Linked DNA regions of Schizosaccharomyces pombe. The protein of the gene in region 1 interacts with the protein of each later gene in a biochemical or structural test. Each region holds a gene or a part of one and is shown on either strand. Other genes may lie near its edges.

Region 1 (17,787 bases):
TCAAAAACTTCTTTTGACGTCAACCCCTAAAACAGGGGACGGTGATTGGTGGTAACCACGGACCGGATAGGTATCGATATGCACATCAGGTGAGAAGTTTTTCCGAGGCCAACTCCGGCTCCATGGTATATAATAGAGGGTTGCGCGCTACTGTTGCAGTATCATACTTCCAAAGGTCGTATAGAACACACACACAAATTAGCAAAATGGGAATTCTCGATATTGTACCTACTGGTGTTATTACAGGTGACAACGTTTTAAAGTTGTTCACCTACGCTCGTGAGCACGGATTCGCCATCCCTGCCATTAACGTCACCTCCTCCTCCACTGCTATTGCTGCTCTTGAGGCTGCTCGTGAGGCTCGTTCCCCCATCATCTTGCAAACCTCCAACGGTGGTGCTCACTTCTTTGCTGGTAAGGAATCCTCCAACGAGGGCCAAAAGGCCTCCATTGCCGGTTCCATCGCCGCTGCCCACTACATCCGTTCCATCGCTCCTTTCTTCGGTGTCCCCGTCGTCATGCACTCTGACCACTGCGCCAAGAAGCTTCTCCCCTGGATGGACGGTATGTTCGAAGCCGATGAGGCCTACTTCAAGATTCACGGTGAGCCTCTTTTCTCTTCTCACATGCTTGACTTGTCCGAGGAGCCCAAGAAGGAGAACATTGCTCAAGTTAAGGAGTACTGCAAGCGTGCCGTTCCCATGAAGATCTGGATCGAGATGGAGATCGGTATCACTGGTGGTGAGGAAGACGGTGTCGACAACTCTCACGTCTCCCACACCGAGCTCTACACTCAACCCGAGGACATCTGGGATGTCTACCGTGAGCTCTCCTCCGTTACCCCTTACTTCTCCATTGCCGCCGCTTTCGGTAACGTCCACGGTGTCTACAAGCCCGGTAACGTCAAGCTCCAACCCGCTCTTTTGGGTCAACACCAAGCCTATGTTAAGGAGCAACTCAAGACCACCAACGACAAGCCCGTTTTCTTCGTCTTCCACGGTGGTTCCGGTTCCTCTGTCAACGAGTTCCGTACTGGTATCAAGTGCGGTGTCGTCAAGGTCAACATTGACACTGATACCCAATTCGCCTACGTCGAGGGTGTCCGTGACTATGTCTTGAAGTACAAGGACTACCTTATGACCCCCGTCGGTAACCCCGAGGGAGCTGACAAGCCCAACAAGAAGAAGTTCGACCCTCGTGTCTGGATCCATGAGGGTGAGAAGACCATGACCAAGCGTGTTCTTACCGCTCTTGAGGACTTCTACACTGTCAACACTCTCTAAATTTGTGGTTTTTGAAAGATGGAAATGATTGAATAGACGGTGGGCTTCATTAAAATTATATTTTTTTGTCCCCTTAATGAGAGTTCATACTGTTTTGAAATTACGTGTTTGAATATAGAGACATTGTTTTTTAAAATTACCATTGTAAAAGCATAAGAGATATTTGAAGTAAAGTAGGGCAAAGTAAGTTAAGAAATTTTTTTGGATTGGATTTGTAAAGTGTTTTTCAAGCATACTGTATATTGTTAAGATTTTTCTTTTTATCCTTTTATTCATCTTCCTTAATTGGTTAATGTGTTCTTAGGTATATAAATTTACAAAAAAAAAATTTCCGATTCCACATGACAATGAATGAATAAATAATATGTCCGTGCGTTTATTTGAATTTAATATATATCGTTTGGCAAATCTCGATGAGTAGCTTAAAACAACATAATCGCTTGAATTTCATGTGCTTTGTGTACACAGTGTGCATTGTTTAGTAGATCAACTTTTTCTTCTTTCATTGCAATGAGTACGGGCATTTTCCCTTTTCCTCCATATTTCACGAATCCATGTTTTTTTTAGATAACCCTTTCTCAATCAAAACTCAGCATGCTTCTTCAGACTTGACCACTTATATTGTCAGTACACTACTGCTCCTTAAAAGCTTACTCCAAGTCAAGACATCAAGGTTGGAGCAATCATTCTCTTCATGAGGTACTATGGCTGATTTTCTTGCTAGAGATTATCGCTCTCAAGGTGAGGCGGCGCATGAAATGCTGCCGACTTTCCTTATAGGAAAAATCTTGAGAGAACGCATAGTAGATTCTATTTACTGGAAAGAACAATGTTTTGGATTGAATGGTATGTGTTCTTCATTGACAGAAAAGGAAAGTGTTTTTACATATTAGAGTTCAAGTACGATTACTTTCCAAATCGATATTTTGAGTGATATAGCCTAAATGAACTTGATTTGGCAAGCAAAGAAACCAAGTATAGGTACTTGCTGTTTTAATCAGTCCTCAAACTGTTATTCCAAATTCACTGACTAATACATCTTAGCTTGTTCATTGGTGGATCGTGCAGTACGGCTTGAATATATAGGTGGTCAGTATGGAAATCAACGGCCCACCGAGTTTATCTGTTTGTTATACAAGCTTTTACAAATTGCACCTGAAAAAGAAATAATTCAACAGTACCTATCTATTCCTGAATTCAAGTATTTACGTGCCCTGGCTGCATTTTACGTTCGGCTTACATGGGATGATGTGGAAGTGCATCAAACGTTGGAACCGCTGTTAAGAGATTATCGGAAATTAAGAATTCGTACTAATTCTGAGATCCGATTAACATATCTGGATGAGGTTGTTGATGATTTGCTAAATGCCGAAGTAGTTTGCGATATTTCCCTGCCCCCATTGCGAAGTCGACTCCAACTTGAAGATTTGGACTTGCTTGAACCACTTTCATCTTCTTCAGACGAAGAAGATGATGATGAAGAACAAATTAGTAAATTGGAGAGCAATGAAGGTGCTGTAGATCGGAATATTTAAGGATAAGTAATATACAAAAAAAGAGTAAAGCGAAGCACGCATTTTGTGATGCGTCTACGATTTAACTTGGAATGACTCTACAAGGAAAAGTTATGGATTGAAATGGTTTTACACTTGAACTTATTAAAAAACAATTTATGAATAACAAACATCTAATCAAATAGATTTGTATATTAATATATATCGATTTCACATATTATCGCAAATACGCTATTTTTTCTTGTAAACAAATTTCGATAGACTTAGTTTACAGCACACTAAATATTTATAAAATGTCTTTGATACGCCACGGAATTTTTTTCACACCATACTTTAACGAATCACCCCATTCCGTCTATTTTCTTACGTTTCGTTAAAAACATGTCAGTCCACTTCTTTTTTGCTCACATATGAATTAACACGACTTTTCTCTTTCATCCATTACCATACTCGAGCAATCCTAACTTTGCTTATCGGGTGATCGATTTTAAATTTTTTTACTTATAGGACGTCCAGTAGCCTTTATAAGTTCATTGACAACAATTGGGTTGTTGCTGAGAGTTTGTTTACTGCGCTCGACTCTTGCTATAACCTAATCTTAAACGATTATCAAGCTGGATTTCCTTCTTGCTAAGAACATTATTTTATTTTACAACTCATTCAAGAAATTATTTTGCTATCTATCGCCTTGGATAGCTTTTAATGCGTCAAATTTTGGATAATTTGTAGCTCGATTAGAAAATTCGCTCAACATCCTATACAGTCACAGAGATAAAAAACCCTAAGAGTTAAATTCAATTTCTCTTTATTGTTGGATTTTTTAACTCGCTGTTAAATTCCGCTTGGTTCTAGCTGGAAATTTTGTTAAATATGCAAAGCTCAATTCCGTCAGTTTCCGTGTCGGTCGCTTCTCCTGCAATGGAAACTCCAACAAAAGCTTCGCCTGACAGCAAATCACCCAATTCAGTGGGTGCGATTCCTTCTTCATCCCCTTTGGCTTCATCGACAAAGGCTTCAACTTCTACTCCCTTTGTGGAGAATTGTTCCAATCTGTTGTGTGATTTGGCTAGCATTGTCGAGGACTCACCTCCAACCTTGACCAACACCTCGTTGTCTCCCCATTCGTTTTCCCTTTCTGATATGGAGTCATCAATGAGCAATTGGCTTAACCCTTTTGCGTTCGACAATACGATGAACTCGGCGCCTCCTCTGTTTACTTCGACCAACATGGGCTCCCCTAACTCGTTAGAAAACTCTACAAATCCTCTTCTCTCTAATTGCGGCTCTCCAAATTCATTTCAGAATGAGACCTTTACCGGCCCATCATTGAATGAGTTCGATGCCGATGATAAAATTCAGCGCCAAATGAAAATCCTTCACTCTGTTGATACAATCGATCCATCGACTGTTCAAAATTATCCTTCAGCTGATATGTCAAATCCAGAAGTCAAATTGAAAACCGAAGAAATTATTACACCCATGGACACCACTTGCAAGCCTGAACCTTCTGCCAAGAAAATAAAGTTGTCTCCTTCCTCGGAAGATTCTTGCTCAATTCCTGAAACATTACCTTTTTCGGCCCCCAAGTCTAGAGGCTCATTATCTCCTTCTGAAACCCCAGATTTTGTAGCCGGTCCTGGAGGAAAACCAAAGAAGACAGCTCATAACATGATTGAGAAGAGATACAGAACCAACTTGAACGACCGAATTTGTGAATTGCGTGATGCAGTTCCTTCACTTCGTGCTGCTGCTGCACTTCGTTGTGGTAATTCTCTGGACGATGAGGATTTGGGGGGTTTGACACCCGCTCGTAAGCTTAACAAGGGTACAATATTGGCAAAAGCAACTGAGTATATCAGACATTTGGAGGCCAAGAATAAGGAACTACAGAAGACTAACAAGCAGCTTTCAGATAGGCTGGCTTTCTACGAAGATCCTTCGATGGCTCCTCCTTCTAACGATACTCGAGCCGTTAACTCTGTTAATGTTGTTTCCTCATCTGACTATTCTGTTCACCAATCTTCTCGACCAAACCTAACCCAAAGAGCTTTTACTTCCCCAACCCTAAATACCATGGGCCGCACAGCACTAAATGGCATGGTTGGACTTGGTCTATTCAATTATTTTGGAAACGATTCTTCTCAATCTGTTTATGGTTTATTCGCTCTTCCACCTTTTCTTATGTCTCCATTCACAGGTACTGTTCTCTTTAACATGCTGAAAATTGGTGTTGTTTTACTCGGTTTATTCTATCTTTTGCACGATAACTCTCTTTTCAAAGGCTTCAAGGGTGAAAAGAAATCTAAAGTTAGTACCAGATCTTCCATGTCACCATCCTCAATCTTATTCCGAAAAACCGTATTCGAAAAGTATTGTTTATTGGACCATTCTACTTCGACTATTTCTCTATTTTTTGGATTACTGATCTTCACTCTTAAATCTGCTTATGGCTATTTGACTCATCGTTTGAGTGCTCTTTATACCTCCTCTGAGAATTGGGTTTATAGTGAGCAACAACTTGCTGAAGTTCGCAACATGGAAAAGCTTTTGGATGCCCAATTAATGGGTGGTGATGCTAAAGTTGACCGTTTGAGGCTCTTAATGGTATTTGCCAGTTCATTTTCTCTTCCTCCTTCAAGTCATACTTGTGCTTTACAAGCAATGTATTGCCAACTAATTTTTTCCAACACCTCTGTCCCATCCGCTATCGTTTCGAAGTGCGTTGCTTTCTTCTGGAATGCTGCAAAGAAACAACATAGCAAAAGTTCTGTACACGCGGAGTTACGTGAGCTTCCTGAGTGTACTGCTAACCTAATTGAAAACTCCCACGCTGACGACGTTTTCTCTCCGAATATGGTTGAGCGATTGTGGGTTCTAGCAAAGTGCACCCGTGACTCTGCTCAAATGTCAGATAGTATTATTAGCTCCTTATCTGATGTTTTGGTTTTATCTCCTCTAGAGGTGCTTGCCTCATGGTATGCCGCTGATTTGTTGGATGCCCTTTTGATGGAAAGTTTGAGCCGTAAAGTTGAGATATCCGAGATTGAGGAAATTATTTCCCTTTGTCCTAAGAACTCCTCTATTATTCGTCATGCTTTACTAGCTAAATTGGTTTTGTTCCCCGAGAATACAGCTGATTCTTTGAATGAAGTCCTTGCAGCATACAAGAACACTTTGGATTTATGCAGCCAAGATAAACGCAAGCAGTCAAGCGTGTTAAAGATCAACTTATCCAAGCTATTCACACTCCACTCATGCCTATCATTAGCACTCCAACGCCTTGGATACGGGGATGTTTCTAAACGTATGTATCAGGAAATCTTTGTACCTGATAGTGATGCAGACATTACACCTTTATCTTTTATTATTTCCTGGACCGCTTTGAACACTTTTGCTCCTATTTGCACATCTCCAAAGGAAAACGATGTCGTTGAAAAGATGGCCATGTACGTGCGGACGGCCATCGGAACTTTGAAAATTCAAGATTTGAAATTATCTCGTAAGTTAATCAACTCTTGCATAGATATTGGATCTCGCTTACAAGAAGATTTGGGTTATGTTTCATCAGCTTAAATTGTCGATTCTCGAGCTTTGAGAACAGTTAGTATACAACGCTCATCTATTGCAACTACCTTATTATTTTCCATGATTGTTATTTCATCAGTTATTTTGCGTATCATTTTTTAGTTTTAATTATTCTTTTAATAAATTACAGTTGTCGTCGGTAAGAGCAGTGATAAAAATATGCAATTAGAGTTATTTTGTTGTATCAAGCTAGCACAATTCACCATTTGAGTATATTTGGTGATTAAATAAAATGAATAGAGTACAATTTGAGGCATGCTAAGGTTCATCGAACTAACTATTTTTTTAAATAATGACACATTGGCAAGATTAAAAAATTGGATTCTTCTCTTGCAGTTAACTCTCTGCTGTTGATGAAGATGTGTTGAATCTTAGACTGCTGATATCCATTTTATACCAATTGTATAAAAAAAAGAATGTCAATTATTAATAAAATGGAAATGCATAAGATAGATAAGAGTGGTCTGAAGTTTTACGGTACAGTACGTAGTTCCGTCCTTACTGAAATCTCGGGAGTAATACGAACCATTCACCAAAGGTAAACAAACTACCAAATTGTTTTTATGTATTATTTACTACTATATTGGTTAACTTATTCTGAATCCTACAACCTAAAATAAAAATAAATAGACTCGCTTTTATTATTTGTCGATTCAAGAACTTAGCTCTCCTTTGAAGATGAACAAACATTTTGCAAAGCTTTCACAATGGACCGGTGAAAAATTTGGTTTTGATCGTCAGAAGACTACATTATCTGATGATTTTTGTTCCTTGAAAGGTGAAACGGATGCCTGGCTTGTGGGAATGGATAAAATTCATAGAAGTTGCACAAGATGGGTACGGAATATGGATAAACGAAAGGGCCTGCTCGACGAGAAAGATAAGCAATTACCTGTTACTCACGTTGGATCGTCTTTTGTAGAGTTAGGGCAAGCATTATCGCATTCTTCAAGCAATTCGCACACTTATATCATGTACGGAAAAAGCATGGTTGAAATAGGGCACCTACAGGAGGAGTTTATGGATTATTTGAACAATTCTTTTTTGGCAAATCTAGAAAATTCTTTAGCCGAGTTTAAGGCTTTAGATGTGAAGGAAAAGAAGATGGAAAATCGACGACTTGTCTTTGACGCGCTTTCTACAAAAATACAGAAGGCCAAAAAAGAAGAGTCAAAGCTTGAAGAAGATTTACGGAATGCTCGCGCAAAATACGAGGAGTCTCTGGAAGAGTTTGAAGACAGAATGGTTCAATTGAAAGAATTAGAGGTAAGTATTATCGTCCTAATGACATTCGTTACCAATTTGATGCCATAATTAAACGATTATTAGGCCTGCCTAACTTATCTTATATGACTCAATATTTTTGTTAACTAATTTTTAGCCTGATCGTGTCGAAAACGTTGTACGACTCCTACAGATGCAAATACGATTTCATCAAAAAAGTCTCGATTTGTTAAAGGGACTTGAGATGAACGGATTTTCCAAGAAGAGGGATAACGTTAATATTCCAAAGCGTACTTATTCCGCAAGATCTATTCCATCGAATATTTCTTCAACAAATGTTGCAACAACGCCCTCGAATACCATTTTTGAAATGGATGATACTTTAAAGGCCGATAGTTCTTCAAATGAATATCATTCTCCCACCAATACACTCCCTTCTTACCATACAGAAGCTGACCTGGACAATTCTTCCATAGCTTCTTCAAATAGAACACAGCATACTGAAGATAATTATAACAAGGATGTTTCGGATGCTCAAAATTCATTGGGGCAGTCTGCTGTAGATTTAACAACTCCCTCATCACCTCCAATCCCCCGTCATACCAAACCCAAACTGTCTACGACTCAAAGTACCCCAGTCAAACCGGCATCGTTACAAAGTGAGGAGGATATCCAGTTAAGTTTTAAACAACCGGAATTATCTGCTTCGTCGGCAGAATTGGATGAAAAGTTGAAGTCTCAGTGTAATGTATCCCCTTCACCTTCCAACATTTCTGATGCTCCCCCGAGCAAGCTTAATCGTAGTTATTCATCTCCACTTGCTTCCATTTCATCCAGAAAGGTAGTACGAATGAAATATTCATTTGAGCCAGAAACAGAAAATGAGTTAAAACTAAAAAAGGGAGATCTTCTTTTAGTTTTAAAAGAAATTGATGAAGGTTGGTGGGTTGGGGAGAAACTGGGTGAAGATGGGGTTTTTACTGGAAATACCGGAATGTTTCCTTCAAATTATTGTGTTCCAGCCCATCCATGGGACAAAACATTTCGGGCATTTTTGAAAAAGGGCTTTAAGTAGTCCCATTTATTCCGAGTACTATTGCTGCTACTTTCCGTCCAATTTTAATGGCTGTTGTGTCTACAATCATTCTTTTTTATTTCATTTTAAATGATTTTTTGAAGCTCCTTTCTTTTGCATTATTTCATTTTTTTAGCATAATACCGACTGATTTTTATGCATCACGTTACCCGGTACTCTTCATTTTTTATTTCGACTGTCGATATACTTGTCTGTATGACATTAAAATTGAGTGATCTTAACCTTAAAAGTTAGTTTAAACAGACTTGTTAATCATGTTAGCACCTATGCTTTAATATAATTAAGATTTATCTCGAACTTTTGTTTCCGTAAATTTCATACTTTTAAATAAGATGGAAAGAGTATGAACAGTATTATTTTAAAAGTGGATATAAAAATGTATTCATGAATATCATAATGTCAAAGATATCCTTTAATCTTTTAAGTTTTCTTTGTTATATATTGATTACAGGTAAATTTGAAGATTACATCTTAAATATGGAAATTTTCTAGTAACCGTTTTAAACGGGATAATGAGATTTAACTTACATCTCAGGACTTTTCTAGTTGAGCATTTAAATGCTTATTTAATTATTAAAAAAAAATTCCAACGCCTCAAATTATGGTAATCGTGATTATTTCATTAAAATGGAGAACATAAAATTAACACCAAGATATCCAGGTAAGAAAAAAGCATACTAATGTTTTAAATAAAAAGGGTAACAACTGACACGGAAAAGGAAATAACACCAAATGTTGAGGAGTAAAAAGAAATTCAGAGAACTAACCCTATCGTTAAAAAAAAAAATTATTTTCACTGAATAAACCATGAGATATGCTTGAAGAGTAGCAGGTTAACAAAAAAAAAGAGAAAGTTATTCACAGAAATTAACTTAAAAAGAACCTTTGGCAGCCATGAGACGTTGCAACATTAGCAACTTAAAGGCACTGTACTGAAGGCCAGATACTTTTCCGTTATCAACCTCGGACGGAATCTTTTGCTGCAGGTTTTCCAACCAGTTGTTAGTGATGGTATAATTCCTTTTAAGTTTATTAATGTTGGTAATAATCTTTGTAGGAGTATCAGGTATGGAATCAAACGCAGATTCAGTAAGGTCAACGTTTTTAGAACCAACAAAAGTTTCGGAAGAGGAAGCAGACTTGTTTGATGCTTCATGAATTTTAATTACATGTCTTTTCTTGACACGTTCTCGGCGGCGGAATTGTGAGGTACCATGACTACGACCAAAAATGGATGGCCTAGCCGTGGTGTCATTTGAACCAAGATAGTCTGATGCGGAATATTGGGTTGCAGGGGAAGATACAGCAGAAATATCATCAGATTGAGTAGTCAATTGCTGTATAATCGTATCGGGAGGAGTTGACCGGTATATGGACATAGGTATTGAAGGAGAAGAAATAGGAAGTAGTGCTTTTCTGGATAAGGCTAAAGAAGCAATAGATCGAATGTTAGGATGCGTTTGGACATCCAATGGGCCCATTTTAATTGGGAGATGAGTGTCGACTTTCGTAGATTCATGATAGTCGGGAGGACCATCTAGCAAATCTGGGTTATAATTAGCCAGAGAAGTATGAGATTGGTTAGGAGAAGTGAAAGGAATTTTTTGAAAAGATAGATTAGAGTCGGACTTGGCAAACCAAATTCTTGACATTTTGTATATGATGGAAGGAAGTTCTTCCTGAAACAGGGAGACCAGTTGCACCTCGATTTCTCTTTGTAAAAAGCGAGCAATAGCAGGAATAGAATCAAAGGAGGAAGATACACGCACGGATTCTAAAGGATCGTTTCGAAATACCACAGTGATACCTTTCTGCTTTGAAAACACCAAAACAACTATTCCGTTAAGCTTTAAGTCGGAAAGTCGTAAAAACATAGGCACAGTAAGCGGTGCACGAGATGCTAACATTGTATTACGAGAACTAAAACTGGGAACATTACTTTTTTGCACCGATAATGGATTGGCACGAATTTTTGTTTGCAAGACCAAAGAAGCATCACCCGAATAATGGAGATTAAAGAGGCCCTGAAAGCGGTCTGGCGCTAAGTCGCCAACCTCTAAAATTTCCAGTTGAGGAGGTTGGGGACCCAAATCCAACTCTTTTACAGTGATGTGGTCTGCAATCATCGAGTGTTTAGTGCCTTTGTTTAAAGCAGCCGTAAGCAAAGTGGTTGCTCGCTCATAGAATGACTCAGAGAACTGATCACTCCATCCCTTTACACGAAACGACATTCTGTTGATTTTCCTAAGTTATCTACATCAACTATGAAAAATGTCAAATTTTTTTGTAAGGAACCGTCTAGTATAGACTAAGTAACTAACGCTTTAGATCAATTTCTTTACAAAATTTTTATTAAATTCGGATAGGGAAACGACAACTTCCATACAGTGGCGGACAGTAAATAAACATCGATAGGCTGGCTGATGCACTAGTGCGGCATACTGAACCTTGATATAGCCAAGATAAGGATAGGGTCGATCGTACTGTATATGAACGAAGGTGTATTAGAATGCATTAAATAAATTATTACAAAATGCACAGTAGTTTCTTATGCTATACTGGTGAAATATATTTTCTTGCTATTCTGTTCATTTAGGAGGGATAAATAAAGCTTCATGAAATGAAATTCCTTAGATATTCAAATCAGAAATTCAGCCATTATTTTAGAAATGATATTAGTGGTGTTGCTTACTGTATTAATTTGCTATGTTGACAAATATCTAGGCTGAAGAACTTCGAGTACAAGAACCGATACAACTTTGCTCTTTCAGAAAAGGATATCTCTGCATAAATGAATGATATTAAATCAAAATTGTTCGTTTTAAAAAACCTATATTATGTTTGTTCGCAGTCCATGTACTACGTTAAAAAATCACTGTAAACTTTCTAGATATCATTATTTAGAGAAGAGCAGAAAGGTAAAGTATTGCAAAGTGTGTAACCAGAAACTGTAGGTAGACAGTAAACTTGATTTTGTTGCTAAAATTTTTTATAAAACTAATTGCATACTAAGTTTAACATTCTAAATCAATTGGAACAAGTATTGAAGTTTAGAGCAATTTGGGATTTGCGAATTTCCACACACCCCTTTACGTCTCCATACCGACTTTTCATTATTTCTGCAAGGATTTGCTCACCCAACTTTTTTCAATATAGCATATTAAGAATTCTGGTTTTTAAAAGACGGTATCCCCTTTTTTACGGCCTTTTACTCACTTAATGATGATTGAAATCATTCCTAAAATTTCAATTCCCAAAAATGGACTAGGTTCATTTACCCGCCCAGTAAGATTTAATCAGCTTTCTTTTTTTTTAAAAAAAAAAAAAAAAAAAAGATTGGCCTTCATTAACTTCGTATTACTAATTTTCTTTTTAGTGCCGTCGAATTGAGTTTTCGTATTGTAATTGGGGTGGAAGCTCAAAAGGCATGAAAGAATTTTTATCCACAAAGCTTGAGTCTTTGGCCAAAGAATCTCAAGATGTGGAATTTCATGTTACAAACCGCCAAGGCAAGCATCCATTAATCCGAGCTTATTACAGTACGTCCAAGACTTTTCTCTTATTATGGTGATCCTCTTAGTTTTATAAATATGAACTCCTTAAAATAGTGTTTTTTACTAATGCTACGATAATAGATACTGGTCGAGAGAAGGTCATTTGTACAAGGAAAATGTCAGCGTCTTCAATATTTCAAAAAGCAATTCTATGCAGAGATAGTGATGGTTTGAAACCTCGCCTCATAAAATATCCTGTTGAGTCAACAAACCCATCCGTTCGTGGTATTTGGAGTCCATTTTCCGATCAAGCAAAGCCCCATGAAATTTATAAGAAAAAGTCCCCTTAGATTCCTCTACAAACTACTTATTATTTCATACAAAAAAAAGAAAATTCAATTTAATCATTTTCGTTATGTTATTATGTCTAACCTTTTTGTCCGAAATACAAAACCCTATCCAAATTTATCTTCCCATAAATACTCTAGTTAACCAGGTAGTAAGTGTACAGATGTATCAAATCCCTTCTTTTTCAATATCAGGAATATGCAACGTCCCTTTTAAGCTTTTTAAAGAAACAGAACAGCCATAGCAAACATTTTGATTCTTAATACCTTCAACGGAATCCGGATGTTCAACCGTAGTTTTTTGTAACCAAGTCTCAGCATCTTCTTGCATTGGTAGATTACAGATGGTACATATGGCTTCTGTAGAAGGCACATGCAATTTTGAGCTCATTTTGACAACGGTGCTAACCAGACTTGGGAATGTATCATTCAGCGATGAGAAATATGATTCTGTAACGCCATGAATAGTATTAGGACGTGCTTCAATTAAGCTATCGCAGAAAGCTAATCCCTTAATGTTCATATACGACTTGAGGTCTGAAGACAAAACTTCACGTAGGGGACGTAGTAGGAAAGTATCGCAATTTGGAAGCTTAGAGCAGACAGAAGTGTACCATGGTATCGCAAAACCTCGACCCTCTGCCACAAGTTCAAGAACTCTTGCAGCAATTGTAGTACCGCTATCACCAAAAACAATGGTATCACAATTTGCCTTCCGGGCATAGGATACTAAAAGCTTATCCCGAATTCGGTAAAGTAAATCTTGACGCGAGGCTAACGAACTAATGACTTCTGGATTAAATTTCTCATTATCTGCGTTTATTTCTATATTTCCTCGTGAGTCTGTAGCAATGGTACGGTTCAATAACTCAGCTTCACCAATAACTTTGAATGGACATTTAGGATAATTTTTGGAAATACTTTCCTCAATCGTTTTTGCAACAGCTGAATCCGTTCCCCACTGAAAATGAACTGCAAGCAATTCATCAAACATAGGCCGGTAATTATCATCTCGATATTTTGATAAATAATTGGCTGTTTCAAGCATTGCCATTGAAGATATACCACCGGAAATAGCCAGCATTGCTCTTTTAGATTTGCGTCCTTGTAAATTGGGTCGTACAAGCTCAAATTGCCGACGAATTTTGTTCTCAATTCTTCTGACAAAGCATGAATCGCAGACCGCATCTGATTTAGTCAGAACTGTTGCCTTATTATCGCATTTGGAACATTTTGAGTCGGCTGAATTGTCTAGAGCCGTGTTCTGCATTTTTTTAGATTTTTCTATTGTTTTTCGAAATGAAGGTCCACAAAGTACTTTCAAAAAAATTATCCGTATAAATAAATAAGTTTAAGAGATACCTATTCTTCTTTCAATTCCAATTTTATGGAAAAAGAATAGTTGGTGGTGCGCAAACCAACTAAACACTGGAATTTTTCATAGTGCCAGCTACTCACACAGTACACCACCATCGACCATGTCTCTGTGTATTAAGTTGCTTCATGAGACCCAAGGTACGATTTTTTACCCAATTTTTTTTTAGTAAAACTAATTTTTAGGCCATATCGTTACGATGGAGTTGGAAAATGGGTCTACGTATCGTGGAAAGTTAATTGAAGGTATATTCATTTTAAAACGATTTCTATTTTGTTATGGTTTACTTACACTAATTAGCGGAAGATAATATGAATTGTCAAATGAGAGATATCAGTGTAACTGCTCGAGATGGTCGTGTTTCTCATTTGGATCAAGTTTACATTCGTGGTTCACACATTCGTTTTCTCATCGTTCCTGATATGCTTAGGTAAGAATTTTTAAGTGGTTGGTTTAATCATAATTTTAACGTTTTTAAACAAGGAATGCTCCTATGTTCAAAGTTGGCCCTGGCAGAAGTGTTCCTTTACCTACACGTGGACGACGATAAAAGAACCGTATGAAAAAGGATAATAGATTTGGTGATTTAAGTAATGAAAAATTCATTTCTACTGTTGCTTTAAAGTTGAAAAACGTAATGATTTTTTAAATATTCAATAAATTAATGGACGCACGTGTTTCTACATTGCATTGTAAGTAGTAAGAGATATTGTGAATAAGCTCTTTTTACATCTTTTCGAAGTACGTTTATGTAGCTGCTGTTTATCGGAGTGATACCTTCGACTTATCTATAGTGACAAATGCTATTACCACTATTTTGTGTTGTTAAAATACATATTTACAACATAAATCTTTATATGCTATACGAATGCAAAAGTTAAGTAAAAAATTGAATAATATGTAATATCCGATACTACAGAATAATAAACCTAACTTATTTTAGCTTAGAAAAAAAAATTAGGTTCTTCTGGCAGCAGCCCGCTTGGAAATCTTTCGACGTTGAGCAAGCATATGTGTATACATAATGTAAAGACCTAGAAAGTTAATAAAGATTTTGGAAGAAAAGCTGGGTTTCACTCAACTTACCAGGTGGATAAATAGACATCAAGATGGGCCAAAGCAGCTTGTTCAAACTCCAGACGTACTGAGCAGCAATCCTACTTTTCAATACTAAAAGAAATTCACTTCCAGCACCGATGGGATAGAGGATTAGGAAGGTATTATAGCGAAGCCATGTTAAGAAAGCAGGGATGTCGCCGTTCAGGTTGAATGCATAAAATGCATAACGAATTATTTCGGTAATGGACCAAGCGATGATCATACTTAAGTATATAGGAGATCCCTCAATAACATATGAAAATGGATAGCACACACCCCAAACAAGGTAAAGTCGAGATGCAACTTGAATGATTGTTGTTAAAGGAGAAGAAGATACTAGTCCAAATATACTGTGGAATACTTCAGCTATTGCCAGAGTTTGTACCCAGCGAACTAAAGTATTTGTTTCATGAAAAACTACGGCTGTATCTTTGGTTATTCCCCATATCAATCCTGTACGAAGCAAAACGCTCATCCAAAGAAAGCAGGAGATAACATTGTATAGTTTTAAATATTGTATTTTTACTATTTTTAACTTTGTTAATAACTGAGATCTATAAAAAATCGAGTCTTACAAATTTTCGACATTTTTGTTGGGATTGTAGTTGGAACAATACGATTTTCAAACGTTTCACTACGCGGCCTCACTTGTATGAGACCATTGTTGGCCAATATTGTTTGTTGCGTTCTGGGGGATGGATAAATTCTTTCTATCAAAAGAATGTATACAAACACTTTACAAACAACTTTTAAAATTCGGATTTGGCTAACATCGTTATGTATTAATGAAAATATCAAATTCGCACAGAATCATAAATTGATCAAAAATAATATCAATCAGATTATTAAAAAATTAAGGTAAATTACATATTCTATAACTAATTGGGTTATCTGACTCGATTGATGATACGTGTCTTTATTTACATTATCAAGTCAAAAAAAATTTACAAACCCCGGGTATTAAATTAGTAATCTGAACCAGTTTAAAATTAGAAATTTATAATTATTTGAAAACATTTTTCTGCTATATGTAATTTGTTTAAAGTACTATGTGCTAGTCATTTCGTAAGAAGAAAGCCTGCTGTTACGGATGACTAACATCCTAGCCACAGCCAAACACTCCTTTCATCGAAAAAAAATTGCAATCACATGTAAGAGGTTTATTAAGGGACAATCTGATTATTATAATAATTATTGATAATTTTGATAGAAGTTATAAAAACTATGAATCTGATTCATAAAGTATCAACTATATGTCAATGTGTCTTGGTAATTCTTGCAAAGTATTGTATGCAAATAATTGCGCTTTCGTTGATGAGTGGTGTTCAATGGCTTGCTTGGGGAATTTACAAAATCAATAAAAATCGTGTAGGGATCATCATTTTGTTTTTGTACATTATGATCGTAACATGTTATGTCCTTACTAATCTTACACCACCAGGCTCTCCATCGGTACGTCAATTTCCTTTAGTATAAATATTATGTGAGTATTATTAAAACAGGAAACTAACTCTTCTGTTTCAGGAGACCTCGTTTGATCCGAATTCTACTAGGCAATATATGACATTACAGAATGGAAAATCTCGATTTTGCGAAAAATGTCAAGAATACAAATGCGATCGATCTCATCATTGCTCGCAATGTAATAAGTGCATTCTTCGAATGGACCATCATTGCATGTGGTTTAAAAATTGTGTTGGATTCCGTAACCACAAGTTTTTCTTCCTGGAGTGCTTCTACTTAAATCTCTACTCCATCTGCGTTCTTTATTCAACTTTTGTTGCCATCACCAAAACTTTCACAGCCGAAGGAGCGAATATTAGTGCTATTTATTTAGTGTTCTGGGGCTTTCTGTTTGCTTTTGCTGTTGGAATGAGCATTGTTATGACTGCCTTTACTTTTTATCATACATCATTGCTCATTCATAATTTAAGCACTTTGGAATCCATGAGCTCTTCATGGAGTCGATATACGCATTCCACTCAACCGTTCAATGTCGGCTGGTACGAAAATTGGTGCCAGATTATGGGGAAATCCCCATTTCTTTGGTTACTTCCTTTTCCCAATTCTATTGGGGAAGGTGTTGAGTATCCATTAAATGCAAATGCTCTCCCTTATTTACCCCAAACAGAAGAGAAGAATGACAAACTCTACAAGAGCTCGGTTCCTGCTAGCATTGCTGGAGCTGAAGGTTGGAGTAGCGATGAAGAGCAATATGCTATGAAAAATCGCCGTTGGAATCCTCATATGGGGCAATATGAGTGGATTGAAGACTTCTTGGTATAAGCCAACGACATTTCTATTTTACTGTTTTCAAGAGTAAATCATCCGGTGAATCAATCTTTTTTACGAAAAAAAATGCTTAATGTTTCTTCCGCTCCTTAATAATCCGTGTTTTTGCCGATTTTGAGTTTTGCCTCCGAAAAAATCAGTTGAAAGCACTTTAGAAAAAAAAATAAGCAAATATGTCCTTTTCGATGATTGCTTGACTACCCTTATGGATTTTTGGAAGTGTTTTTGAATGCTTACTTAGGAGTTTAACACGTCTCGCAATTTTTTTAAGAAAAGCACTCATTGCAAATTGCAACAATCCATTGGATATGACTCGAATTGAAGATTCGTTTGTTTTATTCTTTACAAAAACAAGGATTTCAGCTAGTTTTTGAAAATTTCCCTGCGTGATTAATAGTTTGGGAAAAAATTTTCGTTATCCCTGTTCGACTATTCAAGTATCGCAACCTTTGATCGCTTGAATATGCACTGTAATGATA
Region 2 (12,699 bases), on another chromosome or scaffold:
GAAAATTCCGAATTAGACCTTAGTAATTTTCAAGACGATCTAGATTTTGAAAATTCCATCTCCCAAAAGAACGAATTCTCGCAGAAGTCTCCTTCAGTCCCATTATCTCCTGTGAGCACCTTTCCTGCTTCTTCCATCTCCCTTGATGCTTCTTCAGACGTCTCTGCCGCTGACGTATCAGTAGGTGGTTCTAGCACAATCAAAGAAATTGGCTCTATTGAAGAAACTTTTACTCATGAAAAAACTTTAATGGAGGAATTGCTGGACACCGTCTTTCGTTTGCTTTTTTGCAGAGGCTTTACGCTTCCTCTTTCAAGTCCTGAGCAATATGCATACATTATATGGTAAGTATATATGTATATATATATATATTTTTTTTTTGTTTTTCGTTTGCTTTTTTATATTTGGTTAAATGCAATGTGTTAACTAATCACTTTTGCAGGGAAAATGGAATTGGTACAACAGAAACCCAAGAGAAAACCACAAAGGAACTTGCGTTTAATCGCATTGAGGTTCTTCGTTTGCTGTTAGTATTGATTTCTAAAAGGCTGTATCGATCTTCTGAAGTAGCTTCTCACACCCTTACTTATTTGACCTGTGTAGCAAATAAGCAGCTTATACTAGTTTTTCTTTATTCCCTTATAAATACTGTAAGTTTTGGCTTAAAATTTACCTTTTTTTGTTGTACAACTAACTTAGTTTTTAGACTTTGCGACTTAGACCTGATAGCTGGAAGGCTTCGTATTCAACTCTAGTACCTTATAATGATTCTAGCATTGCACTCTCAAAACTTACTTCTCAAATCCTTTTGCTTTTTTTAGATCACACCCCTCATGAAACAACAGTCGAATACTTCAGACAGAGACTCAATCTTTCTCCTGGCGCTGCTATCGAAAATCAGTATAGATTATATTTTTCTCGACTTCAATTACAAGCTGATTATGAATTTTTAGTTAACGAACTATATCGGCTATTGAATGCACCAGTTTCCGCTATCTCTGCCTATATTTCAATTGTACAAAAGCCTAATATCGCGTTTCCGGAAATTATTTTGTTTCTTTGGCAAGCAATTTTATATAATAAAGTATGTTCAACGGTCCTTTTATATATATTACATTATTTGTACAGTTGTTTAATTTATGTTGTTACGCGTTCATTATATTTGCTAACTAATTTAAAACAGCGTTTCCGAGCATTTTTGATCACTTCTCCTTATGCTACGGAGTTTTTAACTTCTATTCAGTTTTATGCACTTAGATATCGTGAAGACAATGAACATTCCGGCCTTGTTCGCATTTGCCTTTTTATCGTTCATTATTTATCATGCGAGAAGGTTCTTTGTGAAAAACTAAATAGAAACTGTATGAATGCACAATCATTGATGTCTTCCCTTGGGTTCTCAGTCCCACCAATGTCTTATGCAGAGTTTTTGATTATCGTAAGATTCACGATTAATTGTTTATTTTAATTTTATTACTTACGCCTTCCAGTCTAGCTTTCATATTTCAGCAGTGAAGAGATCTCCGTTTAGCAGTTTATCTCCTGTTATATTGTTGACCATATGCAATATTGCACCATTTGTTGAAAACCTAAGTTTCGTTACGTGTGCCAAATTAATGCAACTCTGTTCATCTCTTTCATCTCCTCGGTTTCTTTTTCGTAATCCGCGCAATCATCTGCTTCTTGAATACCTGTTACAGGCTATTTCTAGTATAGTTGAAAACAAGTTTTCTCAAAACCCTAATCTCAGTTATTCTATTATTCGCCTCCAGCAAGTTTTTTTGAATCTTAATTCTATGAAACTTCCTGCCGTTGCTCAGACTAAATCACAGCCTTTAGTGGCCCTCAATTCGGAAGGAAGTAGTGATTTTGAATCTAAATCATCCGATAACACCTCCTTAGATGGAACACCACTCCAAAATACTGACTTTAAAAAAGTTGCTACCGTTGAAGATGATTCACCTTTCGATGAATTAGATAAATTTTCCTCCCCTTTTAGTAGCAGTAGTTCACGCGGTGGCTTATCACATATTTCGAGTAGAAATGTTTCGATTTCTGTCCCGACAGTCCTTCAAGATGTATTCTCAGATTCTCCATTGGTTCTGTCTAGAAAGTTGCGTGGGAAAATACCGGAAAATGTTTCTAGTTCAGAACTTATTAAAAAATGTGCATCCAATCCGTTTGGAAAAGATTTAGAAATTGACTCAAATTTGTTTGCACCTTCCAACTCGTGGTTTAATTCTTGGCATTCAAGACTTGAATTGGATTCTATTCTAGCCATTATATCTCAGTTTTCTCTACCTGTATACAAGAAAATGAATGAAGAATTATCAACTACTGACGAAGCTGTTAAACTATTAGCTAACTCTGTGCTAAATGATGTACATCCTCGAGTTCCCAATTTTCGCTACTTTATTTGGAGTGTCCCTATGAATAATTGGTTTCAAAGTCTTGTTTGGCTTTATACTTTGTCATTTGATGAAAAAGGTTTAATGGCTACTCCCTCTTTATTTACAACCTCTAAAGTGTACAAACAACATGGAAATATCATGAAAGTTGCATCTCCTGAAAACAGTTCTAACTCAATGGAGAATGCCACAAAATCTATACTTGACAAACTCGATTTGCTGTATTTACAGCTGCCAAGTAGTGTCAACCACGATTCCAGTTTACGCAACAAGTGATTCTTAAATTCAATGCGTAAATTAAAGTATACTTTTGTCCTAAAAAATATTTGAAGAAAACCCTGCATGCATGTTATGGTATCTTACTTTGAAAATTTATTGATTAAATTGTTCACTAAAAAATTATCTTGGAGGATTTGCATCCACATACTGCCATCATTTAATTATATACTGATGACCAGAATCTTGCCTTGCTAATTTTGATTTTTGAACTTTTCGATTTGTTTTCATTCTATTAATTAACTAAAAACTGGCTTGGAGAATCTTCTGCTCCAACCTTGTCACTAGCTTTAAAAAAGTCTTTCGAAGTTTGATTTGGAAAGTTGGTGTTTGAAAGTCAATCTCGTATACTTTAGAAAGACCCACCTTTATGAGAGAAACGATCCACTGATGCTAATTCATTACATGTATCCAAATCAATGTATAACCTTATATAGCAATGAATTGGTTGCTAAAAAATTCTTAGCTTTATTTCGCTACACTTATAAATCTGTTTACTATATAAAATAAAAAATCCAATTTCAAAAGTTTTGAGTCCCAATTTTTTGGGTAACGAGGATTACTTCATAAAGACCTTAGACCTTTCCTTTATTTTTTCCACAAAACTATTTATATTCATGAGTTTGTTTTGTAATTGCAATGAATAACTAGCTTGTCATTTACGAAAATTGCATATCAAAAGTATTTGAGTAAAATCGATATCCTGTTTGGCATAATGGTTCAATTTATAAAAAATTCGTGTGGTTAAGAGTAGAAATATATTTTCGATTTTGCGAAATGCTTAATATGCGAAGATATTGTATTTGAGTACTTCAAAAGAATACAACGCACAGTAAACCTTTTCTTTCAATAAATTATCAGGTAGAGGTGGCCTTATTACTGTTTTTTAATAATTTTTATGCTTAAATACCTATTGGAAGCAAGAAGTAATTATGATTACCAAAATTGACTCACTTCCAAAGGACCTAATTCGCAAAGTTGAAAATGGTGAAAAGTTGTTGCCAAATCAAGAAATCGTTTATTTTGAAGAAAAAACAGTCCCCTATAAAATTAGAAGTGATGAGGAAAGTTTTCCTTTGGGCAAATTGATAACTTTATTAGTAACTTCACAGAGCTTTATCCTTTTTGATGAAGAACAGAATTCTGGCTGGAAAATTCCATATGAAACCATTACTCTTCATGCGAAACAAAGCAAGGATAAGCCATATGTATATGTTCAATTAGAGGGTGAAGCCATTCGACCCTTGCTAGATCACATTCTTAAATTTGAACGGTCGTCAGGAACATTGCATGAAGCTCCTTCTACCGAAGATGAAAATGAATTCACAGATGATTTTTTAGAACTAACATTATATGTTACTGATGTTGATTCATGTTACCAGGCTCTTTGTACTTGCCAATCTCTACATCCGGACACTTTTTCCTCAGATAATGATGTTGAAAACGCGAGTATGGGAAACCCTATGTCCTTATTTTTTGATCCAAATCACCAGTGGGTTACGGCTGAAAACGTAGATACCTCAGCTTGTGATAACAGATTTGATTCTCCGGAATCGCCTGTTCTGAAATGGCATCGCACAGAGTAACTTTCATAATGTTGTATTCTAACGTTTCATTCATACTTTTTAAAAAGTAGTTTATGATAATAAATAAATATAAACAGGCTTCTAAATTTACTAGATAAAATATCATTACACATTTCACTAATTTGTACAAAATTAATCATGTAATACATATTACAAATGACAAGACTGTAGACTAAATTTCCCATGCAATAACATTTTAATCATTATTTATACTGGAGAGGAATTGCAATAGCATGTGAGGCGGAAAGATGAACATGCTTTACGGTAACTTTAACTTTTCCAGGCAGTTTGGCCAAAGTAAACCGAACATTTGATACAAGTGCTTCGATGTTTTCTTGTAGCTCCTTGTCGCTGAACCCTAGTTTTCCAACCGGCAAATTTATCGAGCCTGCATCATTTTGCCGATAGTCAACAGCTGTGAGGGCAGATTCAATGAGTGGCTTCAATTCATCTGATATAGTACCTCGTTTTATTGAAGGCATAAGACGTTTTGATCCTAATAATTTAGCAACTTGTGGTAGTAATTCTGCCGAGTTGGGATGAGCAAAGCACTTTGAAAATTCAAGGGGCTCTGTTTGAATTTTTTTTACTAAGTCTTCTGCACCAACATAGGTTGCACCCAATTTTAAAGCTTCATCTGCAGCTGCACCTTTAGCAAACACACAAATTTTAGGAGGCTCTTGAAATGGATGAGGAAAGGCAATTTGACCACGAGCTGACGGAGCGCGTCGATTACTTTTTAAAGCAATTGAAAGCATATAAGACCCAACATATGGAACAGAAATGCTCACAGATTTGAGATATTTTGTGGCTTCAGGAACTGTCATCGCAAGAGCGGGAAAATTGGATTTCTTGTTTAGTTGAGAAATAAACCTTTTGCAGAAACCCTTTTGATTTTTAAAATTTAAAAATTCATTATGTGACAATAATGTTTGCCGTTTACCTAACGCTATTAATGAACTCATGGTTTTTAATCTGGTTCGTCAAACTGTCACCAAGCTACTGGATGTCAGTCAATGAACCTGCTAAAATCATAAATCTCTAAACAAATCTGATCCAGCTGTCAACTTTCGAATTAATAAAGAATTATCTTTCAAATCAAATTTCCTTATAATGTTTTTGATTAAAGACTAAAAATAAACGGTTTCGTTTAAATTCCACGTTGTGGTAGTTGTAAGATACTGTAGGGTTATACTAGCAAATCCATCCGTTCACGATGTATATATTTTAAGGAGTTAAAAGTTTGTTCATCGGAGTTTTGAGGGATATAGCATTATGAATTTTGTTTCATAGTTATATCTTCACCGCATCTTGTTAAATCTGCGTCAACTGAATAGTTGTTGGTGAATTGTTGTTAACCTTTGTTGTTGATAAAAAATTTTCCTTATTTGAATCTTTAATATGATAGGAATTCATTTTTTGGATATTGGATGTAGCTTCTGGATAGCTGTCCATGTACCCGACAAGTGAAAGCATGTTCGTTGACTCATTACAGTCCTCATCTTGGAAATGTGAGGGCTCAACTGTTACGTACGTAAGAGTTGTACAGGTTGTTGCTCTTGCTCTTGGCACAAAGTATGCATTACTCAGCTTTTTGTTGTGAAGCATGTCTTGTATCTTCTTCAAGTTGGTGGCTGTTGAACCCATCTTAGCAGACCCTCGGTTATTTAGTTTTGTGTTAGCATGGAATACCAATGGTTTTAACAAGTTTCCTTGTTCTCCGTCATGGCTCAATTTTCCTGCTTCTTTCTTTATATCCAAGTTGCCTGATAACTGTCCACTAAGTTCCTTATTTTCTTGCTTACAGTTAACATATTCATTTGTCTGACTGGGTTCTTTGTTTTCACCAGTCTTAGGCTCATTCTTATTTTCAACCTTACTTGAAAGGGTCGTGGGATTCTCAGAGATTTTGTTTGTAGAAGACTCTATTGGCTTTCGGATGGTAACAGTAGAGCTTCTTTCTGGTTTGACGAACAAAGCTTTGTTGTCTTGCTGCGCTGTTTGTTCTGAAGTAGGTTTGTTTGCAAAAAATGCTTGCAATCTACGAATTCTGTCAGACTTTCGCTCCGCGAAGCAAACGAAAATCCTTTTTTTCCCAACCATCATTCCATTCAATGTGTCTTTGGCTCTAACGGCAGCCTCTATTTGACGAAACGCTACGAAACCATAACCTTTGGAGATTCCTGAATTTGGATAGCATGCTAACATGGAAGACAAAATCGACCCGAAGGGTGAGAATAAATCTTCCAGCTGACTCTTGCATGTGATGACGGTATCATCTAAATTTTTAACGTATAGATTTGAAGGGTCAATAGGAGAATTAGGGATACTTGGAGAGCTTTCACGTAAAGAGTCCCAATGCACGATTGACTGAGGTTTATTATCTGGGTTCCAAGCGGCTGGATGATTTTGCTGATTTGAAACACCGGTAGTTGAAACGCTACCCCATTGGCTTTTCTCCTTAGTTGGTGAGCCCATAATCCATGTCATCTTCGAACATGTAGCATTTTCGATATTTATTTGAGTTTTGTTAGCGTTTTCCGATGGGAAAGGCCATAAGCTTTCACCAGTCGGCGTTGTGGGAATTGACTTCACTGAAGAAGAGGCTTTATTTTTTATACTGACCTCTAAAATGCTTCCTTTGTATGGAACGTTATTTAATTTTTCTATTGCCTTAATAATGAGGTTAGTATCATGAAATAGATTATGCAAATATTGGGGTTTTCTCTTCATATTGAGCTTACATTTTGACATGATTCAACTGAATCCATAATCACTTCGCCATACCGGAACCCTCTTTGGTCAAGAAACTGGCTGACCGCCGTCCCTTTTACTACACCAGCCTGTTTAAAGTGGTTATATAAGTCAATCGGTGTGACTTCGGCAGGTAGGTTCAAGATACTAAGGGGTAACGTAGAAGCGAAGGCATTTGGTACAACTTGCATGCTAATATCTTCCAAACCAAGAGACGGTATGGTAAGCGTTGTTTCTGGCTTCGGGTTACGCGAATTTATGCCTCTCACAGTTTCCCAATTTCTTTCTTCGACATTTGGAATAAATTCCTTAATCTGAGACTGTTTGAGTCCTGGCTTAACGTTTTCCTCATCTGTATTGTTTTGGATGCTAGGATTGAACACGTTCGCAGTGATTGACGTATCGTTAGGTTTGAATTTTTTGTCTGTCAGTTTCGCAGGATTTACGACTCTTGCTTTAATGGTCCTTTTTTTTAGGTTAGTAATTTTTTGGAGAATGATTTTTCGATTTTTTTTTCTGTAATGCTTGTCTCTAATTTTTCCCTTCAGTCACTTACAATTTTCTTTGGCCCAGAGTCATTCCTTTAGCGTCCTTTAGAACTTCTTCAATGCTTTCAGCATTAACGAATTTGACGAACCCATATTGCACTCCATTTTTAGGAGGTTTAAAAGGTTTCGCTTTTTCCTTAGGATAAAAACTATCAAGTAATCGACGAAAGATGGATTCTACTTGTCCTAAAGAATTGATTAATATATCGCTTTTATTTATGTTTTCTAATGTTTTTCCTCGTGTTTTTATCCTTGACTTGTGTGTTCATACCATATTTTGAAAAGTGTTTGATGATTTCTTCATCAGAAAGTCGGGAATCTATATTTCCTACATATATAGTACTGCTTTCATCTTCATACTGTCCGGGGACAGAGAGTTTTGAATTGTTCATTTTATCTCAAAAAAGATGTGTGATGGAAAGGAATGGTTGTTGTTTTTGGTATATATAGGATCGCTGTTTGTTTACATTTCGATGATGCATGACTGAAACTATTACCACCATAACAAATGAGAGTAAACAAACCTTAAATTGACCTCTTAACATTTTTAGAGTAATATTTTTTGTTTTTTTTTAAAAATGCTTGTTTTATATTTACAACTTGATTTCCTAATATTCATGCAGTTTGGTTCATATCTGTTTTATCCATATCTCTACTAAATCCTCAAATCGCATTTATAATGACATTTTATTTTATTTTATTATTAAAGTCAATATTACCTGCTCGCATTAAAAAATATTTCAAATTCATACCATCCTTTTTTCGGCTTTCGCTGATTTCAAATTAAAAGTTGAATTTCCTTAAATGAATCAAAAAGCAATTAGGCTAATATTCTGGTGAATCCATTCATAAATTTTCAATTATTGTTGTTTTTGGCAAACCAACTGATATCGCACAACCTGTCAATAAGTTAGGTCAATCAGTTTATTACTCAAAATCCAGATGTTACTAAATTCTTTCATCTGCTTTTTTCTTTGGTTTTCTTTGATTTTAGAAGTATGATAGTTTAGAGCTTTACTCGCCTATATTCTTTGCTAACTAACTATACAGTATTTTACTGGCAAAAGGTAATAGATTTAGATAAAATAAGTTTGAATCGAATGACCATTAAAGTAAGTGAAAAGCAATAGGTGAAGATTTAGTGTAATCATTAAAAAGGTTATAAATGTTAGCAGTTCTCCAATATTAAGAGCAATTTATGTAGCTCATTTCAGTTCCTTCTAATCCATTTTAGACTTAAAGCTTCATTCTGTCGAATACCGTTTTCTTCAAATACTTGTATAAACCTCGGATTTTGTCACTGTTTATGAACAATGAATTCGTCTAAATTAACAAAATGCAAAATTCTTTGTTTTTTTGTTTTTATGATTGTTTGACTGAACAAATAAATAAACATATACAGATTTAAGGGTTAACAATATCCAATGATTTTCCAAGAATATTATACTGCTGGGTTAAGGTATTTTGATATAACATCTACGACACTACTCAATAGACACAACTACTATACAACCTTCGGGTGCCATCAGACAACAATTATTCACTATAGTATTTGTTTTAAGAATTATTAACTTATTAGTAAATGTTTTATTGTGTATTTGGAACTTTAACTAATACTATCTAAAATCCGGTAATCTCGTTCCTTTTTGGCTTTCGAATCTAGTGTGGTTCATATGCGATCCTTTGTTGTGATTAGTTTTTCATAGGCTCAGAGAAATTATGCTAAGATTTGGAATAAAAACATGGAAGCGCTCTGTGTTGGCGATACGCAGGTCGTCGACCGCTCCACATGTGCAGATCATCTCCAATTTGCAAAAAAAGCTGCTCAATGAGCTTTATTCTTTGAGAAGATTAGTCGATGACAATTCTCCTGCAACAATTCGTGTAGGAAATGTCTCCCTTTTGCTTTCCAAATCGAATATTAGGAGGAGGATTGCGCTACAGGCGTTAAGCTCTTCTGCCGAAGATGTCGCGTGTGTCAAACAAATCACACATGCTCTTCTCGCTGCTCCCTTTATGCCTGAGTCAAAAGAATTGAAATATGCCATGGATCACAATGGACTAAACCCACTTTATATCTCGTTTGGCACAAATGCTTTGTTTGAGCGAAATGCTAGGTATAGTACGTCACATTTATTTCTTCCAAGCGACTTCCTACAAGTCAATAATCTTGAAATTATTCACCTTCCTCCGGGAACAGTGGACTCTGATATTTTGGCTAGTTGCCATGCTCGATATATATGTTCTACTTCTTATTTAAGAATGACCTCCAGTGACTTTACTACTGCAGACACGTTGGTGCTCGATATTGACCCAAAGTTGCATTCTCTTTTAAAAAATGAAAAATCTATAATACCCGTCTCATCATCGGCTGCATTAAAAGCCACCAAAGCTCTGCAGGATGATCCCCACAACTTTCAAAATTACCAAAATCAATGGGAGCAAAGTGGATTTCAACAACTACGCACCAACATGACGCCAACAAGTGATTTAGAAATATGCAAACGTTTTCTAAATTATCTTTGCTGCTCCTTTTCTCTAACAAAAGCCGAGAAAGATCTCGTTCGCGCAACCGAATTTAGCAATTCTATGCTGATATCGATAGAAAAATGGGCCAAGTACTGTGATGTCGATCTTCAAGAGTTTGAAAAGAAACTTCAAAAGTTTTGGAAAAATTTTGGTACATTGAAATTATATTCCAACATTGAGTCGTTACCTGCAAGTCTAAAACAATTAATAAAGGATGAGTACTTACAAAAATCAAAGCTCGAATTGTCATTTATTTTAGGTGAGTTGTCGAAAAACGGTGACGATAAAAATAATTTTGAACTCGCCATGAAAGATTTTGGGACATTTCAAAACTCCCGTATGAGTGCTGTAGATCAAGCCTTACAACCTTTACGTCGAAAGACACTATACACAACTGCTTTTCAGGGACTGGGGGCTCTTGGATCTCTTTATTTATATTTTGTCTCTCATTTTTCTTTGTACAACGCCTTTAGCGTATTTTCTGTTTGTGGCGTTTTCGGCCTCTACTATTTACAGTCCAGCTATAGATCTTGGAAGAAAGAGTATTGGAAGGAATTGTTGGAAGAAGGTCGGAAATTTGAAAGACAGCTTTGTCGTAACGTTTTTGGGCGCTCTAGTTTTTATGTACAGCAGAAAACTGCAGCTGAAAAGAAAGAGCATATTTCTTTAATTATGAAAAAGTTGACGAAAACATTGGACCTTATGAAAGAATTTCAACTACAGTCAAGCTTTTCGGATAGCCCTACAGCCTCGAAAAAGCAACTTCTATGAACTTTTATGACTTAACCTATCACCCCTCTCTTGATTTAGTAACAAGGTATCGAAGTTTTATTTCTTCTGAGTTAGATTTAACATTTTTTAGGAGTAAAATAATTAATTACCTTATCTAATTTCACTTGTTAAAAATAATAGTATACGAACCTATTGTTTAAGGAAAACTGTGTAACAATGATAACTGCTCGCCCCTTAATACATATTGGAGAAAGAATCCCTTTTTTATAATGTAGTAATCAAATTACAGCAGAGTTAGCGATTTCAGTAAAAAATATTCGTGATTTTAAGTCGAGGTTTTTGGAAGATTCTAATTGTTTTCATGTACAGTAGTAGTAAAACTAGCTAGCATAAATTAAGCAGCATCCATTCAGTTTTATTTAATCAAGATTTCAAAAAAAATCGCAAGGTACCAGCTTAACATTTATACACTGTAAGCACTGTAGTATTCTTCATTAGCTCCAATATGTTACCACCAACTATTAGAATTTCAGGTCTGGCTAAAACCTTACATATACCATCTAGAAGTCCCTTGCAAGCTCTAAAAGGCTCATTTATCTTATTGAATAAGCGTAAATTTCATTATTCGCCGTTTATCTTACAGGAAAAGGTACAATCCTCGAATCATACCATTCGGTCTGACACCAAACTATGGAAACGCCTCCTAAAAATTACTGGCAAGCAAGCACATCAATTTAAGGATAAGCCTTTTTCTCATATATTTGCATTTCTTTTTTTACATGAGCTAAGTGCTATACTACCTTTACCAATTTTCTTTTTTATATTTCATTCACTCGATTGGACGCCCACTGGGCTACCAGGCGAATATCTTCAAAAAGGTTCTCACGTCGCAGCTTCCATCTTTGCCAAATTAGGATATAACTTGCCTCTCGAAAAAGTTAGCAAAACTCTCCTTGATGGTGCTGCTGCTTATGCTGTAGTCAAGGTATGTTAGTATAAATCGCCTCAATGGCATATATACATGTACATAAGAATTTTCGCCAAAATGATTTAGAAGCCCATATTTAGCGTATCTTCAGGTACAAATTTGATTGGCCAAATTTTCGCTAATAAATAAGCTTATTTTGTCGAAAATAATATGGTGTCTTCTACGCGTCCGTTTGTTTCCAACTAACATTTTACCAGTTACTTCTTCCACTTCGAATTTTCTTAAGTCTCGCGTTTACACCTACATTTGCTAAAATAATTTCTAACCTATCTTTTAAATTGTTCAAAAAAAGAATATAATGGCGAGTACATTTTCACAATCGGTTTTTGCGCGTTCTCTATATGAAGATTCCGCTGAGAACAAGGTCGATTCATCAAAGAATACTGAAGCCAATTTTCCTATTACACTTCCTAAAGTTTTACCTACAGACCCGAAAGCTTCTTCCCTTCATAAACCTCAAGAACAGCAACCAAATATCATCCCTAGTAAAGAAGAAGATAAAAAACCCGTAATTAATTCAATGAAGCTGCCATCGATTCCTGCTCCTGGGACAGACAACATAAATGAATCTCATATCCCACGTGGATACTGGAAGCACCCCGCTGTAGACAAAATAGCTAAGAGACTTCATGATCAAGCACCTTCAGACCGGACGTGGAGCAGAATGGTATCCAATTTATTTGCTTTTATTAGTATTCAATTCTTGAATAGGTACTTACCGAATACCACTGCCGTAAAGGTTGTTTCTTGGATACTCCAGGCACTTTTATTGTTTAACCTGTTGGAATCAGTTTGGCAGTTTGTTCGTCCACAACCTACTTTCGACGATTTACAACTAACCCCTTTACAGCGAAAATTAATGGGTCTTCCGGAAGGAG

Evidence for each region.
Region 2: the proteins of smd3 (region 1) and saf5 form a complex in vitro, tested with the Schizosaccharomyces pombe proteins (one study listed by BioGRID).

The regions. Positions count from the first base shown.
Region 1 is NC_003423.3:1,688,161-1,705,947, forward strand, and holds smd3 (Sm snRNP core protein Smd3), read left to right. Parts: upstream 1-13,995; 5' UTR 13,996-14,021; coding exon 14,022-14,058; intron 14,059-14,103; coding exon 14,104-14,163; exon of another isoform or gene 14,164-14,218; coding exon 14,219-14,348; exon of another isoform or gene 14,349-14,401; coding exon 14,402-14,468; 3' UTR 14,469-14,600; downstream 14,601-17,787. Other genes in the region: fructose-bisphosphate aldolase Fba1, read left to right, coding at 207-1,283; U4/U5/U6 small nuclear ribonucleoprotein complex subunit PRP38, read left to right, coding at 1,988-2,129, 2,328-2,818; transcription factor Sre1, read left to right, coding at 3,668-6,370; SPOM_SPBC19C2.10 (BAR adaptor protein ), read left to right, coding at 7,061-7,648, 7,764-8,681; protein Mdm34, read right to left, coding at 9,575-10,933; mrpl51 (mitochondrial 54S ribosomal protein mL43), read left to right, coding at 11,922-11,987, 12,079-12,241, 12,338-12,546; cytosolic thiouridylase subunit Ctu2, read right to left, coding at 12,713-13,813; phosphoprotein phosphatase Phs1, read right to left, coding at 14,876-14,952, 15,005-15,541, 15,592-15,604; palmitoyltransferase Pfa3, read left to right, coding at 16,241-16,468, 16,541-17,302. UniProt on the Schizosaccharomyces pombe protein: Plays a role in pre-mRNA splicing as a core component of the spliceosomal U1, U2, U4 and U5 small nuclear ribonucleoproteins (snRNPs), the building blocks of the spliceosome.
Region 2 is NC_003424.3:1,787,009-1,799,707, forward strand, and holds saf5 (protein saf5), read left to right. Parts: upstream 1-3,498; 5' UTR 3,499-3,616; coding exon 3,617-4,270; 3' UTR 4,271-4,391; downstream 4,392-12,699. Other genes in the region: ftp105 (Ubp5 interacting protein Ftp10), read left to right, coding at 1-344, 443-650, 707-1,084, 1,184-1,438, 1,491-2,684; mrpl1 (mitochondrial 54S ribosomal protein uL1m), read right to left, coding at 4,474-5,235; poly(A)-binding protein Crp79, read right to left, coding at 5,585-6,943, 7,015-7,489, 7,581-7,758, 7,844-7,964; protein Mmc1, read left to right, coding at 9,292-10,872; mrx11 (uncharacterized protein), read left to right, coding at 11,339-11,827; nucleoporin Pom34, read left to right, coding at 12,120-12,699.